Chlamydomonas reinhardtii: one gene and its partners. Each later gene encodes a partner of the first gene's protein in a complex. Links are inferred from orthologs where the notes say so. Each region holds a gene or a part of one and is shown in the gene's direction. Other genes may lie near its edges.

What was found. The genes of interacting proteins can lie anywhere in the genome.
Region 2: CHLRE_10g452450v5 (region 1) and CHLRE_12g508000v5 share a complex: the UniProt entries of both Arabidopsis thaliana proteins name them as parts of the tic complex. The link is inferred for Chlamydomonas reinhardtii from reciprocal best matches to the Arabidopsis thaliana genes TIC110 and TIC40.
Region 3: CHLRE_10g452450v5 (region 1) and CHLRE_01g039150v5 share a complex: the UniProt entries of both Arabidopsis thaliana proteins name them as parts of the tic complex. The link is inferred for Chlamydomonas reinhardtii from reciprocal best matches to the Arabidopsis thaliana genes TIC110 and Tic20-II.
Region 4: CHLRE_10g452450v5 (region 1) and CHLRE_04g225050v5 share a complex: the UniProt entries of both Arabidopsis thaliana proteins name them as parts of the tic complex. The link is inferred for Chlamydomonas reinhardtii from reciprocal best matches to the Arabidopsis thaliana genes TIC110 and Tic20-V.

What each region holds. Positions count from the first base shown.
Region 1 is NC_057013.1:4,571,201-4,575,433, reverse strand, and holds the start of CHLRE_10g452450v5 (uncharacterized protein), read left to right. Parts: upstream 1-1,433; 5' UTR 1,434-1,531; coding exon 1,532-1,666; intron 1,667-1,835; coding exon 1,836-2,016; intron 2,017-2,450; coding exon 2,451-2,530; intron 2,531-2,698; coding exon 2,699-2,794; intron 2,795-3,579; coding exon 3,580-3,693; intron 3,694-4,044; coding exon 4,045-4,125; intron 4,126-4,233. Other genes in the region: CHLRE_10g452500v5 (uncharacterized protein), read right to left, coding at 1-363, 662-720, 1,041-1,167. UniProt on the Arabidopsis thaliana protein: Involved in protein precursor import into chloroplasts. Forms a voltage-dependent cation-selective channel at the inner envelope of chloroplasts, which specifically responds to a transit peptide.
Region 2 is NC_057015.1:2,247,097-2,251,382, forward strand, and holds the start of CHLRE_12g508000v5 (uncharacterized protein), read left to right. Parts: upstream 1-1,486; 5' UTR 1,487-1,617; intron 1,618-1,724; 5' UTR 1,725-1,834; coding exon 1,835-1,861; intron 1,862-1,978; coding exon 1,979-2,146; intron 2,147-2,209; coding exon 2,210-2,313; intron 2,314-2,507; coding exon 2,508-2,838; intron 2,839-3,225; coding exon 3,226-3,361; intron 3,362-3,917; coding exon 3,918-4,099; intron 4,100-4,286. Other genes in the region: CHLRE_12g508050v5 (uncharacterized protein), read right to left, coding at 1-118, 251-350, 444-605, 1,034-1,079. UniProt on the Arabidopsis thaliana protein: Involved in protein precursor import into chloroplasts. Part of the motor complex consisting of a co-chaperone (TIC40) and a chaperone (HSP93) associated with the import channel (TIC110).
Region 3 is NC_057004.1:5,530,217-5,533,617, reverse strand, and holds CHLRE_01g039150v5 (uncharacterized protein), read left to right. Parts: upstream 1-1,370; 5' UTR 1,371-1,504; coding exon 1,505-2,062; 3' UTR 2,063-2,901; downstream 2,902-3,401. Other genes in the region: CHLRE_01g039200v5 (uncharacterized protein), read right to left, coding at 69-164, 325-401, 535-703, 859-964, 1,078-1,208. UniProt on the Arabidopsis thaliana protein: May be involved in protein precursor import into chloroplasts. Not redundant with TIC20-I, TIC20-IV or TIC20-V.
Region 4 is NC_057007.1:3,016,847-3,020,805, forward strand, and holds the start of CHLRE_04g225050v5 (uncharacterized protein), read left to right. Parts: upstream 1-1,159; 5' UTR 1,160-1,212; coding exon 1,213-1,498; intron 1,499-2,195; coding exon 2,196-2,289; intron 2,290-2,572; coding exon 2,573-2,680; intron 2,681-3,110; coding exon 3,111-3,171; intron 3,172-3,449; coding exon 3,450-3,512; intron 3,513-3,959. Other genes in the region: CHLRE_04g225000v5 (uncharacterized protein), read right to left, coding at 1-64, 296-373, 526-576, 764-813. UniProt on the Arabidopsis thaliana protein: May be involved in protein precursor import into chloroplasts. Not redundant with TIC20-I, TIC20-II or TIC20-IV.

The sequences.
Region 1 (4,233 bases):
TGCCAGCTCCCGCGCAGCGGGCTTGCCTTTGCCCTTGCCCTTGACGCCCTGTGGCGCCGCCGCCGCTACCGCCGCCGCAGCGCCCTTCTGCTGCTTCTGCTTCTGGTCCTTGCCTTTGCCCGCTGCCGCTACTGCAGCGCCCGCCTTGCCCGGCGCGGCCACCTCCTTGTGCTTGCCGCCCTTCGCCTGCTTAGCACCCTTAGCCTGCAGCTGCTGCTGGGGCTCCTCCTCGCTGGCATCAGCTCCCGCGGGCTCCTCAGAGCCCGGCTCGCCGGCACCTTCGCCGCCGGTCTCCCGCCACTCGTCCTCGTCCTTCAAGCGGTAGTAGCGCTTCAGGTCCTCATTGCGCTTCTTGTCCTCAATCTGTCATATACATGAACGCGGGCAATGCGTAAGTTGTTTGAGCGCACATGCCGAGGACAAGCCAGTTATGTGTTGGCAGGCCTGTTAGTGCGTTCGGCGCGTATCCAGAGTGATAGTCGGGGACTGAGGGAGGGCGACCGCCGGCGGTAGACAGGTGCCCGAGCCCGCGGGCCGTCGGGGCCCCCCGATGGCCTCCGCTGCCATTGTCGCGCGCTGTCACTCGCGTCCTAATCTCAACTGACACCCTCGAAGCAACGCAGCTGTTCCTCACGCCTACATAGTATCGTGCTGGACCTACCTTGCGGCCGCGCTTGTCCACTGCCGAGCGCGCCTGGAACTCAGGGTCCTCAAACATGCCTGGCGGGGGCGGGGCAAGGGTGGGGTGATGGGTTGAGCGGGCGAGCAGCTAAGCGGCTGGGAGCGGCAAGTGCGGGGGCAGGGCAGGGAGCGCACTGGGCTGGGCTGGTCAATGCGTGGGCTCAGGCAACCACGAGCAAAAGTGCCGTGGTTGTGATAGCTGGAGGGATGGCGGGCGTCGGACGCAGCGGTGGGTCGTACATGCGTGTCAACAGCAGCAACATCTGCCGGGCAGCAGGGTTTGCCGCCGCCGGCACGGCACGCCGAAGCACGACGCCAAACCCGAGCTGTCCGGCCGGCAAGAAAGTTCAGTAGCGTACCTGCGAAGCGCTTGTCCACCACCACTTTGTTCTTCTGCTTGGGAAAGCGCTGGAAGCGCGGGTCGCTGTGCATGGCGGCGAAACGGGGGTCGACCTTGCCCCCGCCCTTGCCTTCCGGTTTACCCATCTTGATGTGTTTATTTGCAATAGATTACAATGTCAAAAACTGTTATTTTGTTCAAGAAGACGCTTCTAGAGAAAGAACTTCAGAAAGTCCAGGTACTTCTCTACGGGGCTCAGTAATTCACGTACAAGAAGTGCAAATTCAATTGAAACCTTTGTGATAACAAGAAACACAATTGACCCTGAGACCGGACCCATGCACGATCGCTGATGCGGAGGACCGCACTTTCGCCCAAACGTCGACGTGGTCTTTCTTTTCTAGGGCAGCTAGGAACCCAGGACTAACTGGGCATCGCCCTTGACTTGACTGCTTTACTTGCACACACGCCGTCAAGCATTTAGCTTAGGTTAGCAGCTCCGTCGCAGCCATGCAGACCAGCAGGGCCTCTATGGCCCGCAACCAGCCCGCTCGGCTTATGCCGGGCGCGCCGGTGCGCGGACCCCTGTCTCTGCGCCCTATGCGCCCGGTGAAGGCTGCTGCCCCCGTCGAGGAGGTTCAGGAGGTGAGCTTGCAGGCCAAAATCTTGGTTTAGAAAATTGTTCGCAATTGCGCTGCGCATCTGGGCTTTAGCGGTGAGGGCAGGCAAAAAGACGGTTGGGTGTGCAGATTGTGGCCGGCGCCCCGAGATATGCAGCGTGACCGCGACCTCGCCCCCCGTTCCTAATGCGCAGCAAGCCGCCCTGACCTTCATGGAGGAGGAGCCGGTGCCGAAGGCGTTCCCCTACCCGCTGCCGAAGGACGGCACTCAGCAGTTCCTGTCGGGCATCCCTCTGCCCCTGCTCTACCCCGGCTTCCTTGCCGCTATTGGCGCTGCTGGCCTGGCTGGATCGGTTGTGGGTCGCGCTGCCCCGGGTGAGATTTCGCTTTGGTCGCGCCGAGGGGGGCGTGCGATGCCTCGCCAAGGAGCCGACCGCGGTCAGCGACTCGCGTTTTCTATAGAATCGGTTCGCTGTCGCTGCACCAGCAGCACTACATGAGCCAAATCTTCAAGGATCCTCGCTTAGATCTAGGCGGAGAAGCAGAATTCGGGCCGGCTGTCCCGGAGGTCGCTGGCAGCTGGCACGGCCTCCCTCGCAGTGCACCCACAGCCCCAGCAGCGCATCCCCTGCGACAGCTTAGCCTGCCATCAGCCATTTCCATGCGCTTCAGTGGCAGCTAGGCCCCACCGGACTTGCACGTGCACATGCCCTGGAGAGGAGACGGATTGGCTGCATCTGCCGCCACACCTGCTGCTGACCCTACACCCGCCGCATCCATGTCCTGCCGGCGCGCCGCCCCATGCGCAGTTGACCCCGGCGTGAAGGAGGTGGCCTCCTACGGCGTGGCCGCCGTCGCCGCCGCCGCGACCGCCTACGGTGCCGTACAGGTGCGGTCACGCGCCCCCAAACACACCGTGTCTGCCTGCCCCGCCTGCGCTTCGCCGAAGCAGCATCAGTCACCTGCCATCACCGACACGCAGGATTGGATGCATGCAATGACAGCAACAGCAACATAACAACAACAAACGCGACCTGCAAACCCTGAACCCCAACAGGCCAAGCGTAAGCGCGACTCGGTGGCGGTTGTGGATCTGTACAACGCCATCGTGGAGCTGCCGGACGCTACCGACCTCACGCCGCAGACCGTGGCGGTGCGTTGACCGTTGGCCGTTGACTTTGGCTGGGGCCCGTGGGAGCGTTGGGTCGGCGCCTGGGAACGCGGCGTGGCAAAGAAGGGAGCAAAGGCTTGGGATGAGCACGGCGGCCTGCAAGAGCTTATGACGGGGGCGATGGAGGGTGGACGTGAACGCTTGGGAGGAATGCTGCTGTCAGAGCCGCGTTCTGAGCAGGCGTGGTACGGCGCGGTGGGAGCACCACGCAAGCTCCAGGGGCTGCAGCGCAATGGCAGCAGCGTAGGGTCAGTGTGCGGATTTCTCGAGGACTGGTCGGGGGCGCGGCGCTCGGGGGCTCTGCTGCGGCGCGCCGGACAGGAACTGGAGTCAGCGGCGCCTGCAGCGCCCGCAGGAGCAGCAGCAGGAGCACAGAGCGAAAGCAGCGGCATCAATGGCGGCAGCGGTGGCAGCGGCAGAGGACGCGTCCTAAGCCTGCGGCAGAGCCATGCGCGGGGTTGGGCCCGCCGCTGCGGTGCAGTACTGCAGGGCGCTTGCCGCAGCCCTTGCAAGCCGCCGTCACCGCTGCCGCCATAGGCTCGCGGATCACCGACACGGCGCACAGCTCTGTCGGCGGCGTCTGTGGGGCCCCAGCATGTCAGCTCAGACCCGGAGGAGCAAGCGGAAGCCGGCACGTCGGCAGCCTCCTCCGCAGCCGCCGCCCCTCGCAAAAGCAAACCGCCTCGCTGAGCCGCACGATTTGCCGGCTGACCCCGACTCCCCCTCAAACCCGTGCCTCCCCCCGCAATCCCCTCTCCGCCCTGCAGGACGTTGGCTCCAAGTACGGCATCAACTTCCAGAAGGACGAGCTGGACGGGCTGAAGCGCATCTACGGCCAATTCCTGGAGTCCGTGATCCCCACCGGCGACACGCAGCTCAAGGTGGGGGGCGATTGGCGGGGGGGGGGGGGGGGCTGCGGGAAACGTGAGCGGGATACAGTGGTCAGTGGAGGACACGCGGGCTGTGGGAGAGGAGCAGCGGGTGAGGGGAGGGGCGGCGGCAGCCGCAGGGGCCGGGGTGGCCGGGGTCTGAGCGGCAGGGGACTGCGTATGAAGGAGGCGAAGCAGGGCAGCGCTTGGAGGCAACGCAGTACAAACACAGGCGCAAGGAGCTCGGCATCAGGTCACATCTGTCATCCCCACCTCCCAACGCCCTCGCACCGTCCAACCCACCTTCCAATCTGCCTCCCCCCCCTGTACCGCTTTTCCAAACATCCCTGCAACCCCCCTCAGGGCGACGAGGCCATTAAGGTGGCTGCGTTCAAGGACATCCTGGGCCTGGCCGACGAGGACGCCGCGCCCGTGCACATCGAGGTGAGGGAGGCGGCGGGAGAGGGAGGGGGGAGAGGGAAGGGGGAGGGAGGGGCGGCGCGGCGTGCGACAGAGGGAGGGGAGCGAGGGAGAGAAGCGGAGCAAGGGAGA
Region 2 (4,286 bases), on another chromosome or scaffold:
CAGCGTCACCGTCGGATTGCTGGCGATGCAGGCAGCGGCGCGCAGGCAGAAGTCCAGCTTGCGCTGGATCGGGGCAAACAGCGCCTCGTACGCCGGCGCCGGCTGCTCCAGGCGGTACCTGCAACGTCAGGCGCAGCCTCATCCCCGTTACAAAGTGACAGTAGACACTTGTATTAAACACACTGACATTGCGTGTGCCCATGTGTAAACACACTCCTGCCCCCATCCACACGTGTCTGAGAGCACTCACCACGCCTTGTCCGTGCAAATCCACACGCTAGCTGGGTTTCCGTACGAAATTACCCAGTCCGTGATTGGTTGCGTTTGAACCGTGACAATCGTCGTCGCATCTGTACATATACATGGTTGGGGTTTGGCGTAAGTGTGTGCCTGCCCTGGCTCAAGGAGGAATGGTGAGAGACGTGGGCTTCTGCGGGTCGCACCTGGTGGAGCGTCAACCGGAGGGCAGTTCCCCACCGCTATCACGCTTCCAGGCGGTAGCGTTGTGAGAGCGTCCAAGCTAACGGGCGCATTCCCAGCAGCCGTGTTGATGATGGTGAACTCGCTCAGGGTCCGCAGCGGCAAGTCGGTGTCCCCGGCGGCCCCTGCTTTTTGGGCGCACGAGGTGGTCGCAGGGAGGGAGGGGGCGGCGACCAAGGTTATCGGTCGAGGCCGTACTATCCAGTTTGGAAGCCGAAATCGTGTTGACGAACACTATCATTATTGCATCTTAACGCCGCCCGGCTGCCTGCGGCTTCTGCGCCAGCGCCAGGCTGGTCGCCGGTAATCGTGAGCATGAGCACGAGTTCGTGCACCCAGCACGCCGGAATAGGATGCCATGGATTCGTCCAGAGCACAGCTGAGGAGCTTGGGCTCAGGACAACCGCCGCGGCAACGGTCTTCGCCTTGGTGTTAGATTGACTACTTTCGCTTCCACACGCCGCGACCGCGCCCATGACCGCCGCAGCCCCCGGATGACTCGTATGCTTGTAGAGACTTCATGTTCCGGGCCTTGCATCTCGGATTGACCTACCGTCCGCGTGGACGACCGGGGGCTGCTCCTCCTGCGTCTCCGCCATGCTCCGGGCTCCTTACAGCGCAGAGCGCAGCTAAATGTGTGCCACTGAAATGTTTGACCGAACTTTGTGTCCCGGCTCAGCAGACGGTGCACGACGACGTCAAGTCCGGGAGACCATAGCCCGCCTGTGAGGCTCCGCGTCTGTGCAGTTCCTGGAAATAATGTAAACAAGCCCTGGCGTGCAGGTGAAGTACGTCGTTCAGGGAGTTCCAGAAGTTTGTGTCCAAACCGGTCGCTTTGTTTTTTTGCTAAGCGTTACAAATGAAACTAAGCGTGCAATTGAATCAGCCTGGAAAGCGGCGCCTAAAAAGCCAGGAATTTCCCAAACTCAGAGCTGCATGCAGGCTGAGTGCTTTGTCCCAGCCCCCCACAGGAATTCCCTGGCACTAATTTCTTCTCCCCTCTCTAGTTAGTTGATACTTAGAGGTCAGCTACAATCGTAAGAATGTTGTGTTCCCGCACAACCGCCCCTCGGGGATTCGGGAAGGCAGCCCTTGCTCTGCCCTCCCGCGCTTCCATCAAATGCCGGGCTGTGCAAGGCAAGCACGCTGGGGTATTGGGGCTCCGGAGCAGGGCTTTGCACATAAAATGCGCGTGCAGGTTGGCCCCGACGCGCGCTAATCGGCAGCGTTCCCATTGCATGCAGGCTCTGATCAGCAGCAGGTGGTGAGTGCGCCCGTTGAAGCGGTCGCAGCGCCCGTGCCTGTGCCGGTCGCGGGTGCGCCGCTGCCCCAGGAGACGACCGCGACGTATCCGATGCCGCCTCCGGCGCCCTACTACCCGGTACGTGTAAATAAAAGCTGATGTGGAGCGACAAGCCGGTCGCGAGGCTAGCCACTGCGATTTGGAGGCTCGGCTCCGGGCAGTCGACGATGGTTCTAATTCGCGCACACTCCGCAGGGTATGCCCGCGGACGCTGCTGCACGCCAGCAATACTACATGGCGGCCCCCGCTGCCGCCTACTATCCTCCTCCTCCGGCTCCCTACAAGGAGGAGCCTGCCTCGACTGGCGCTCCTTGGTGGATTTGGCTCGGCGCGGGTGTGATTCTGGGTCAGGTCCTTGCTAAGGTACGGTGACTTGCACTTGGCAAGTATCTTTCTCTTGCCAACGGGCAATGCCTGGCCGCGCAGGTCCAGGAGTATATGAAGAACCCAAAGACGCCGCAGCAGATAATGATGGAGATGGCCATGAAGCAGATGTCTGGCGCTATGGGCTCGCCGCCTGGAGGGGCGGGGTGAGTTGGGCGGCGGACGGAACGTGGGGGTGGGGGATGGGTGGGGGTTGCGAGCATGAAGAAGATAGTCGCGCACAGCACACGTGAGTACCATGTTTGCGGGAGAGCTGGGGCACAGGCGCGTGCCCACCCAACTGCACACTGCCTTCTGTCACCCATCACGGCCCGCTCAACACCTGTACACACGTGCACAGAATGCCTCCGTTCGGCGGCCCCGGCAGCCCCTTTGGCGGCGCCGCGCCCGGCGCCAACCCCTTCGCCGGCGCCGCCCCGGGCGCCAACCCCTTCGCCAACTTCGCGGCTGCTGCGGCGGCGGGTCCCTCCACCGTGGACACCACCGCCTCTCCTGCCTTCGCGGGCGCCAGCAGCAGCGGTGCCAGCAGCAGTGAGCGCAAGGGCGAGAAGTTCGCATCGCGCCTCAACAGCGAGGGCCGCGAGCCCCGCAAGCCGGAGCCGGCGCCTGCGGCAGCAGCGGCTGGCGCCGCCGCGGCGGCGTCCAGCGCCACCAAGCCGCTTGATGTCGTGGTGAGTTTCGGCAGGGACATAATGCGGTTGGGATGATGGCCTAGGCTGCAAAAGGGCGAGGGGCGGATCGAGGCAGCTAGTTCTACCAGCTTTCTAAAGGCAGGGCGATGTCGGGGGTGAACACATGACGGGGCTCCCCTTGCGCATGGGCGATATTAAGTCAGCAAAATATTGAATCAAAGTGGAGGGCTGGGCGGCACAACGGTAGTGCGTTGCCTTGCCTGCTGACGCGGCTGTGAAGATATTCCAGTGACAGTATCCTGCAGCACCCCGCACCCCCTTGCTCTCCCCTCTCTGTTCTTCGGTTGCTCTCCTGCTCCATTTGCGCCGCAATCCCTCACCCCGTAAACGCCCAGCGCTCCTCCTGCCCCCTTCATTTACGCACAGGAGCCGGTGGTGAAGGAGCCCTCCAGCAGCGGCAGCAGCTCGGGCGCCAGCAGCAGCGGCCGCTCGTCGTTCTTTGCGGACGTGGACGCCGAGGCCAGCAGCCGGGCCGGGGGCACCAGCAGCAGCAGCGGGTCAGGTGAGACGATGGGTGGGGAGAGCGAGGGAGAGGTAGGGCTGAGGCGGGGCTTAGGAGTGCGGGTGGTGGAGAGGAGAGAAGGGGGCACGAGAGGGAGGTGCGGGATGTAAAGAGGAGGGGAGTGAGCGGCGGCCGGGCGAGAGGCATGTGCGGTGTTAGCGGGTTGTGAGGCAGGCGGCGGCGGGGTGCAGCAGGTAGGGTTGGCAAATGAATCAATGGAGGGGCACCAGGGTAACCAGGGCTTGGGTCCTGCGAGTGGGCAGTCAGGGTGCTTGCGCGTGCCGGGCAACGCGCTGCTGGTACCTCATGGCTCCGTGCGTGGGCACCCAACCGAGGGTTAAGGGTTCCGCTTGCGACCGAGCCACAACTTTCTGTCTTCCACCGATGCCGAACATCAAAGCCTTCAGCGGCATGCTCGGCCAGGCCCCACGGTATTCTGCGGGCCACTCCTGCACTCAGCCACCCTCCAAGCTGTGCCCGAACCTGCCCCTGGCCCTCACTCCTCCGGACTCCTTTCCCACCTCGCCCGCTGCCCCCGTCGCTGCCGGTCCCACAGGAGCAGCGCCTCAGGACACGGGCGTGATGACGGACATGATGGAGAGCATGCTGCGCAACCCGGAGATGCAGAAGATGCTGTACCCCTACCTGCCGGAGCCCATGCGCAACCCGCAGTCCATCGAGTGGATGCTGTCCAACCCCGAGGTCAAGAAGCAGATGGAGCAGATGTTCGCCAGCCAGGTGCGTGGCTGTGTGTGTGTGTGTGTGTGTGTGTGTGTGTGTGTGTGTGTGTGTGTGTGTGTGTGTGTGTGTGTGTGTGTGTGTGTGTGTGTGTGTGTGTGTGTTGAAGAGCACAAGGAGAAGTAAGCGCAGACACTGTGTATGCGGTGCAACAATGCGGCGGCATACGGATATGAGTGTGTATGCA
Region 3 (3,401 bases), on another chromosome or scaffold:
TGAGACGACTTGCGATTAAGCGTATCCTCTCAGGGCAGTTGGAAGCGCTGGGGCTGCTATCCTGCATACTACTGGTCCTCCTGGTTCATGTATGAGCTCTCCAGCGCCTCCTTCTTGCTTTGTAGCGCACCCTGGAATAGGACGTCCAAATGCGAGTATGCCTCCTGCAGCGGGTTGGCGTCGTCGGCAGCGTTGGTGCTTGCAGCAGGCTAGCGTGCATCGTTCCAACTACGGGTACCTGCCCTGAGCACGACAGTGCGCCGCCGCAGAAGTCACATAAGCGATATGTTTCGCACGTGTGCTGTTCGGTGATACCAGACTTACTTGCACGCCGGCAGCGGGGTTGGCAGGGTTGATGGCCACGTAAGACTGCGACAACTTTTTCAACCCGCCCTGAAGGCCTGCACACGTACAGGGTGAACACATCGCTACGCTTTAGCACGTTAAAACTATGGCAAGCAGCACGCACGTTCACTGGACAGGCTGCTAGCCTGTGCATATGTGTGCGGCTACTGTCCCCCGCCAGCGGCGCACCTTGCCAGCCGCCCAGGCCGCCGCCCTCCTTCTGCACTTGAATGGCCATGACCATGCACTGGCGCGTGTATAGGTTGTTGGGCTCTGCAAAGTTCCGGTAGAAGGTCTCCAGGTCGCGCTCTTGCTCTGGCCGGTTGGGGTCAATGACCATCAGCAGGCCGTCCACCTCCTGCGGAACAGCACGCGGATGGCCGCATGCCTGAGACCTACTGTGCTTGGCAACCAACCCTGCCCATTCCAAGCCCAGCCCCCCTACCCCATGTCAGTGCTAGATCCAAACGTGCACCTTGCCGTCAGACCCGTGCACCGTTCCATCAAGCGCACCTTGGCGAGCACCGGCCAGTAGGACTGGTACTGCACGCTCCCCGACACGTCCCAGAACTGGACCTTGACGCGGTCAATGCCCAGCACGCGACTGATTTCTTGGATCCTGCAGGGATTCAGAAAGCATTACACACCGAGAGCAGCACCGGTCGCAGAGGGAGACGTTGGCAAACGACATTTGAGCACATGCGCGGCCCAGGACAAAGCGACACCACTGACCTGACTGCAGCCGTAGGCTGGTATGACATTTCTCCAAGGAGGATAGGCTGCTCCGCTAGCGCTCGGCACAGCAGCGTCTTCCCAGTCCTCTGAGGACCCACCACTGCTATCTTCAACCCGTGCTCTGCCATGTTTGTTGGATAATGGGAATTGAGTTACAGCTCTACGCCACAGTCGAAGCTGGAAGACCTATCTGAGAAAGAACAGCAATTGCAGTCCCATTGCATGGAAGTCTTTCGGCTGCAGTCCTGCCGTTCACTGACACTGGAAGTTAACCTTTTACCAAAGATTTACAACCCGAGTACACCGTAGCTCCCGAGCAGTAGCCATGCAGGCGCTCGCATCCCATCGCACCCTGGCGACGCCAGCGCGCCCTCGCGCTCTAGGCTGTGCGAGCCTGCCTTTTCGCCCCATCGGAGCTCAAGCCATGCGCCGCCCGGCTCGTGAGGGGGCCGTGACCGTGCACGCGCGCAGCGGCGGATACTCGGCGCCCGGCGGGGGCCGGGGCTACAGCTCCACGCCCGGCATCGTGGACCGCGTCCTGGCTGCGCTGCCCTACATCCTGCCGTACTTCGACGCAGTGCAGTATGGTCGCTACCTGTTCCACATGTACCCCGCGGCGAAGGCGTGCATAACGCCGTTCCTGCCCGCCATGAGCCTGTACCACTCCCTGCCTTTCGGCTCCTTCATCGTCTTCTTTGGCCTGTACCTGGGCGTGGTGAACAACCCCAGCCTCAGCCGATTCGTGCGCTTCAACGCCGTCCAGGCCATTCTGCTGGACATCATCCTTGTGCTGCCGCGCCTGCTGGAGACGGTCCTGACGCCGCCCACGTCCGGCTGGGGCGCGCAAGTGTACATTCAGTCGCAGAGCTTCATCTGGATTTTCATCACCATGTGGGTGGTGTTCGGCATCGTGTCCAGCATGCTGGGGCAATGGGCGCGCATCCCTTTTATCCACGAGGCGGCGGAGGCGCAGCTGCGGTAAAGCCGCAGGGATGGCTGTTACAATTCGGTGCGGGGCTGGGGGCCATTTGAAGGAAGCTGCGCTACGGTGCGGGCTGTCCGCAGCAGTTTGCGCAGGGTTGCGTGTTAGGCTCGCCCCGCATGCCGCATGATTGCAGTGAGGCGCCTTGCACGGCTGAAAAAAGCCTTGGTGCACTTTGGATGGAGAGTTGCGTGTTGTGCAACTGTGAGTGTAGGGGAGTTGCGGGCGTCGTGTACGATGCAAGCTGAGACGCTACTGACGCTGAACCAGTTCTAATGCGCATTTGCATGCTGTGTTGATAACGGAGGAGGCCGTTGGTTTGCTGGGGGCAGGTTCATGAGTTGATCACTGCGACATACAGAGTGTGCTTTGATCGCGGTACTTGCGCTTTGAAGTGGAGGCTGTGGAGCACTTAAAATAACAGAGTGAACATCCGGATGCGGGGACACGTGTGCTCTGGTTTTCCGGGGTCGTTGCCCACCTTCCAGTATGTGCCCAGGCGTCACCAGGCAAGCAGCAGTGGTGATGCGTGTACGTTGCACGTGCGGCGTGCGGCGCGGCAATCCTCGCAACTACCAACACTTTAACTGACACACGGGGATCACAAACGGGCTTTCGCGCAACTGCCAACGAACAGGGGGGCGCGTGGCGTGGTGGTTGGCGCGCGGCGCGATTGGGAACGCATAGTTGGACAGCGAGGCGTGTGGGAAGCTGCGACAGAGCACGGCGGGGGCATGGCGGAGGCTGACGGTTGGCGCGCCGCGTGAGTGGGAGTGCATAGTCGTGCGCGCGCTGTTTGGGAAGCCGCGTGTGTGAGCTGCGTGTAAACTCAGAGAAACCTCCCCGCTACGCAGCGCGATGGCTCGCCCCATGAGAGGCAGGGCACGCTCGGCGGAAATTTGAACGGGCGCTGAGGGCTGCGTAAAGTCCACCCGATACCTCCGCAGCCCGCTCCTCTCAATCACGACGTTCCCGCCTGACACACAGACACTTCTCCCACTCCTCCCACTACTTTCCCCGCCCAACCAAGTTCTCCGACCCTCCACATCCTTACCGATTTCCCCTGTTTCGCCTATCCCTCCCTCTTCAGTCGCGCGAACAGCAAGTCCAATCACTCCCTCCTCCGGTCCGCACTGGCTCATCTGTCTTTTCAGGCGCCCCCGTCAATTACCGTGACAGCCCCACAGATCTCGCACAAACTGTCCTCTCCCACCCACCCAGAACGCGCACAGCCCCCCCGACGTTCAAAACAACAAGGAGGTGGCTGCCTTAGGGAGGCAGGAAAAGGGCTGAGCCCTCCCCTCCCGGGTCGTTATCAACCCAGCCACCTTGACGCGGG
Region 4 (3,959 bases), on another chromosome or scaffold:
GCTTGCTCCGCTGCCAACACCATGCAGCATGGATTCGCCTCGTCCCAGCTTGGTCATAATGCGTCTGCGCGGACATCCCCGCCCAGCAGGAAGCGGGTAAGTTTACGTATTGAAATCGGCAAAGTCTTAAGGCAGAGGCGCGGATTGATCAGTGTTGGTGCGGTTTAAAGGCCTACTAAGTTTTGACTTCCTTTATCTACGATGTCTGCAAGAGCTGCTGCTGACTGTTTGCCATTTCCCCCGCAGCAGTGTGGGCGCAAACCGACCTGCGTGCCCGTGTGCGTGCCCGGCTCACCTCATGCTGCCGCGCTTAATCCAGGCTCCGCCGCTGCCCTGAGCCTGCTCCTCTGCGTCCGAAGCTTCATGGCTGAAGCTGTGGGACAGGACGCCGGGCGAAGGCAGGGGGGGGCCAGAAGTGGAGGCACCGGCATGTCTCCAACCGACATGTCGCCGCAGTCAGCGCGTTCCCGCGTGACGTGCAGTGTGTACCACACGGCAGCACCATGCACCAGCCCCAGCCCGCACCTTGCACGCGCGATGGTTTGGCCAGTCTCTGGCTGGTAGAACTCGAGGTCCCTGCATCAGTCAGGAGTGTGGCGTTCATCGGCCCACCTTCCAAAGCGTAGCGCAATTGTCCATGATGCTCGTCTGTTTCTAGTTTATGCCTTGACACCAAAGCTCAAAGCCAGCATCAATGCCATTGCGTGCAGCGTTGCCGAGAACGGAAGGGCCGGGTCAAAATGGCTTTGTTGTTGCTGCTTACTCTTCAGTCTGCAATTCCTCCTCCCTTGTCTTGCGAAATGTCTTAAACATTCTTTCTGGTGAGAGCGGCCTTTACGCCGTCCAAGGGTCAATGCTCAAACGCGCAAGAGCGCCTTACGCGCTGCCTTGCTACTCCATTTGTAAGTAAAGTGTCAAGGTGTAAGAATTTGCTAGGTCAAAGAGAAGTTACTTGGCAGACTTGCACCAAAACGGGCGAGCCTGTAAGACCCATCTGCTCGCGAAAACGCTGGTAATAGAAAGTCTTCACATGTCGACTGTGGAACCGGCAGTGGCAGCGCATGCTCAGCCGCGAGAACCTCGAGCATGCCCCATGCAGCTTCTGCTTCCATTACTGCAGTTGCCGAACAAATAGTCCGAGGACATATATAAGCGTTATATAATACAACGTTTCCAGCAACACACAAGACATTTGGGCCAGCTTCAAGCAAAATGACGTCCCTACACGCACTGTCCCCTGCCAGCAACATTCAAGCTTCGCGTTGTGTGCGCCGCGCACTCCCAGGCCAAGCTAGGTATGCATCTGTACTAGCCACACCCCGTCTACCCGGTCGCCGCACCGCGCCGAGCAGCACGCAGAACGATGGGCCAAGCCCCTCCGCCAGGCCGGTGGTGCTGGCGCGCTCTCTCTTCGACAACCGGGGGAAAGACGACTTTGGTGACCGCATCCTTGCGTCGATACCCTTTCTACTGCCGCTGCTGGATGGCCTGCCTTATGGTGAGCTGGCCCGCTTTGGCCAACAAATTACGTGTGGTCTTTCTTATAGCCACATGTTGTGGACGTCGTGAAGGCGCTGCTGAAACGAGCACGGGGATATGCGAGGCGGAGGTCGATGGTCGCGAGCGCGCGTAGCCTCACGCCCCGCTGGCACCGTACCACCGCTCGCGCTCTCTTAGCGCAGCGCCGTGTCGCGTCCAGAGGCTCACACACGGCTGTTTGCCACCTCAAATCAATTGCGGGACGAGTAGCGGCTGCGTTCGCAGCTCGCGCGCAGTTGGTGCGTCGAGGGTGTTGCAGCGCGACTACGCTGTCAGCTGGGGTCCACTTTTCTCCCTCCACAGGCTCCATTAGCTGCGTGCAGCTCGCCAACCCCGCCAGCGCACGCCTCCCCCCTCCCAGCCCTCTTCAGCCAAGTCTGCTGCAACAATACCTTCTACAAACATTCCCCAGCTCTCAGCCAATCCAGTCAAGCCAAGCCCAAATGCCCGGTGCTCCATTCCCTCTCACACGCACGCGCATCACCACACGCACTCCAACCCTCAACACCTACCCACAACCGCCAACTCCCCCTCAATCCCCTCCCCCACCCCCCGGACGATTCTTGACTATTGGCCCTCTTTCCTTGGGCTCGGGCAAATAACCCCCACTCCGTTCTGCACATGAACGGCTGCCCCCCCCCCCCGCCCCCTTGCAGCCAAGTTCATAATGATCCAGTACCCCTTCGTGGCCCGTGCCTTCGCGCCCGTGGCCCCCCTGATGTACATCTACCACGCATTCCCCTTCGCGCCGTGAGTGTCCGAGAGGGTGTGTCTGTGTGCGTGTGTGTGCGTGTGTCATGAAGTGTGGATGTGTCGGGAGGGTGTGGGTGTCAAGAAAGTGTGGATGTGTCGAGAGGGTGCGGGTGTGAACAGAGGGTGTGGTTACGTGTTTCTTCAATGGGTTGCACGCCCTCCCTCCCAAAGCCCCCCCTCCTCCCCAACCCACCCAACCCAACCCCCCAACCCAACCCACTCAACCCAACCTACACACCCATTTCCCCCCCACCCAACACCCATCTCGCCCCACCCACAGGTTCCTGGTGTTCCTGGCCATCTACGCCGGCATTGTGAACAACCAGGGCCTGCCGCGCTTCGTGCGCTACCACGCCATGCAGGCGGTGCTGCTGGACGTGCTGCTCATGTGAGCGGGGGGACAGGGGGAGGAGGGGAGGGAGGGGGAAAGGGGGGGGGAGGGGAGGGAGTGTGGGTGAGGGGAAAGGGGGGCACGGGAGGGGGGGGGTTATTTGCACCATTCCCAGCAATAAACCAGTGACACGGAGACGCTTGACAGGGGATGGGATGGGAGGGGACGGGAGGGGCCCCAACAGCACGTGTGCGTGTGCGTGTGCGAGCGTGTGTGCGGGCGCCGCTGCTAAGTCGAGGTACCAGGGGCAGCGCCGTGTGGGCACTTGCAGCGGGGCCTGCACGCGACCCCTACTGCCACACCGCTATGTGGCTCCCTTCCCTATCCGGTGCCCCTCCCCTTTTCAGTTCTTTGTCCTCAACCTCTCCCGTCCTCCTCCCCTCCTCCTCCTCCTCCTCCTCGTCCCTCCCCTCCCCCCCCCCCACAGTATCCCGCAGGTCATCCTCAACGACCTGTGGAAGGCGCCCACCGACCCCCTGGGACTGCAGGTGGGTGGGGGGAGTGGGTGAGGGGTATGTGCGTGAGCCCAACGGTGGGGTGGGGGTGGGTGGGGGGTGTAGATTGGGTGGGTGAGGGTGGGGGGAGTGTGTTCTTTTTGTCGGCTTAGGCGGTAGAACGTAGACAATCAACTCGCGGGGAGTGCAGGGAGAAGATCATTCCGTACGCTGCCTACCCCCAACCTACACCCGCACACCTATCCCTCCCTCCCCTTACACTCTCCCTCCCTGGATGGCTATCCCCCCTCCCCCCCCCTCTACCCGCCCAGGCCTACATCACCGCCTACAACACGCTGTTCCTGTTCACGTCGGTCTGCGCCGCATACGGCATTGTAGGTCGGGGTAGGGAGGAAAGGGAGGAGAGATTGGGGGAGGGGGTCGGAAGGGGGGAGCGAGGCAAGGCCCGGGGCAATTTGGGGGGGGGGGTGGGAGCTAGTTTATTCCAATTCCAAAGAAACCAAGACCCAGAACCATGGGGGGCTGTGATGAGTTGGGGCTGTTGGGGCGGGGGGGGGCTGAGATGCCCGTGCCTAACCAAACAGGTTTCCGTCGCCCAACCAAGGAATACAGTGCCAGAGGGGGGGGCCAGGGGGCGATGGGTTCGCGGTGGGGGCAGAGGGCAAGGGCACACCGGGTTTTGTGCTGCAGCGTTTCCCTGTTGCCCGCGTGGCCATCACTAGCAGCATCAGTGGCGTTACTACCAACGATGAACGGCAATATCCCTCAAGTGCTTCAAGAGGGGACATTCCAAAGCACGCTAGGACAATTTTATGCTGCCA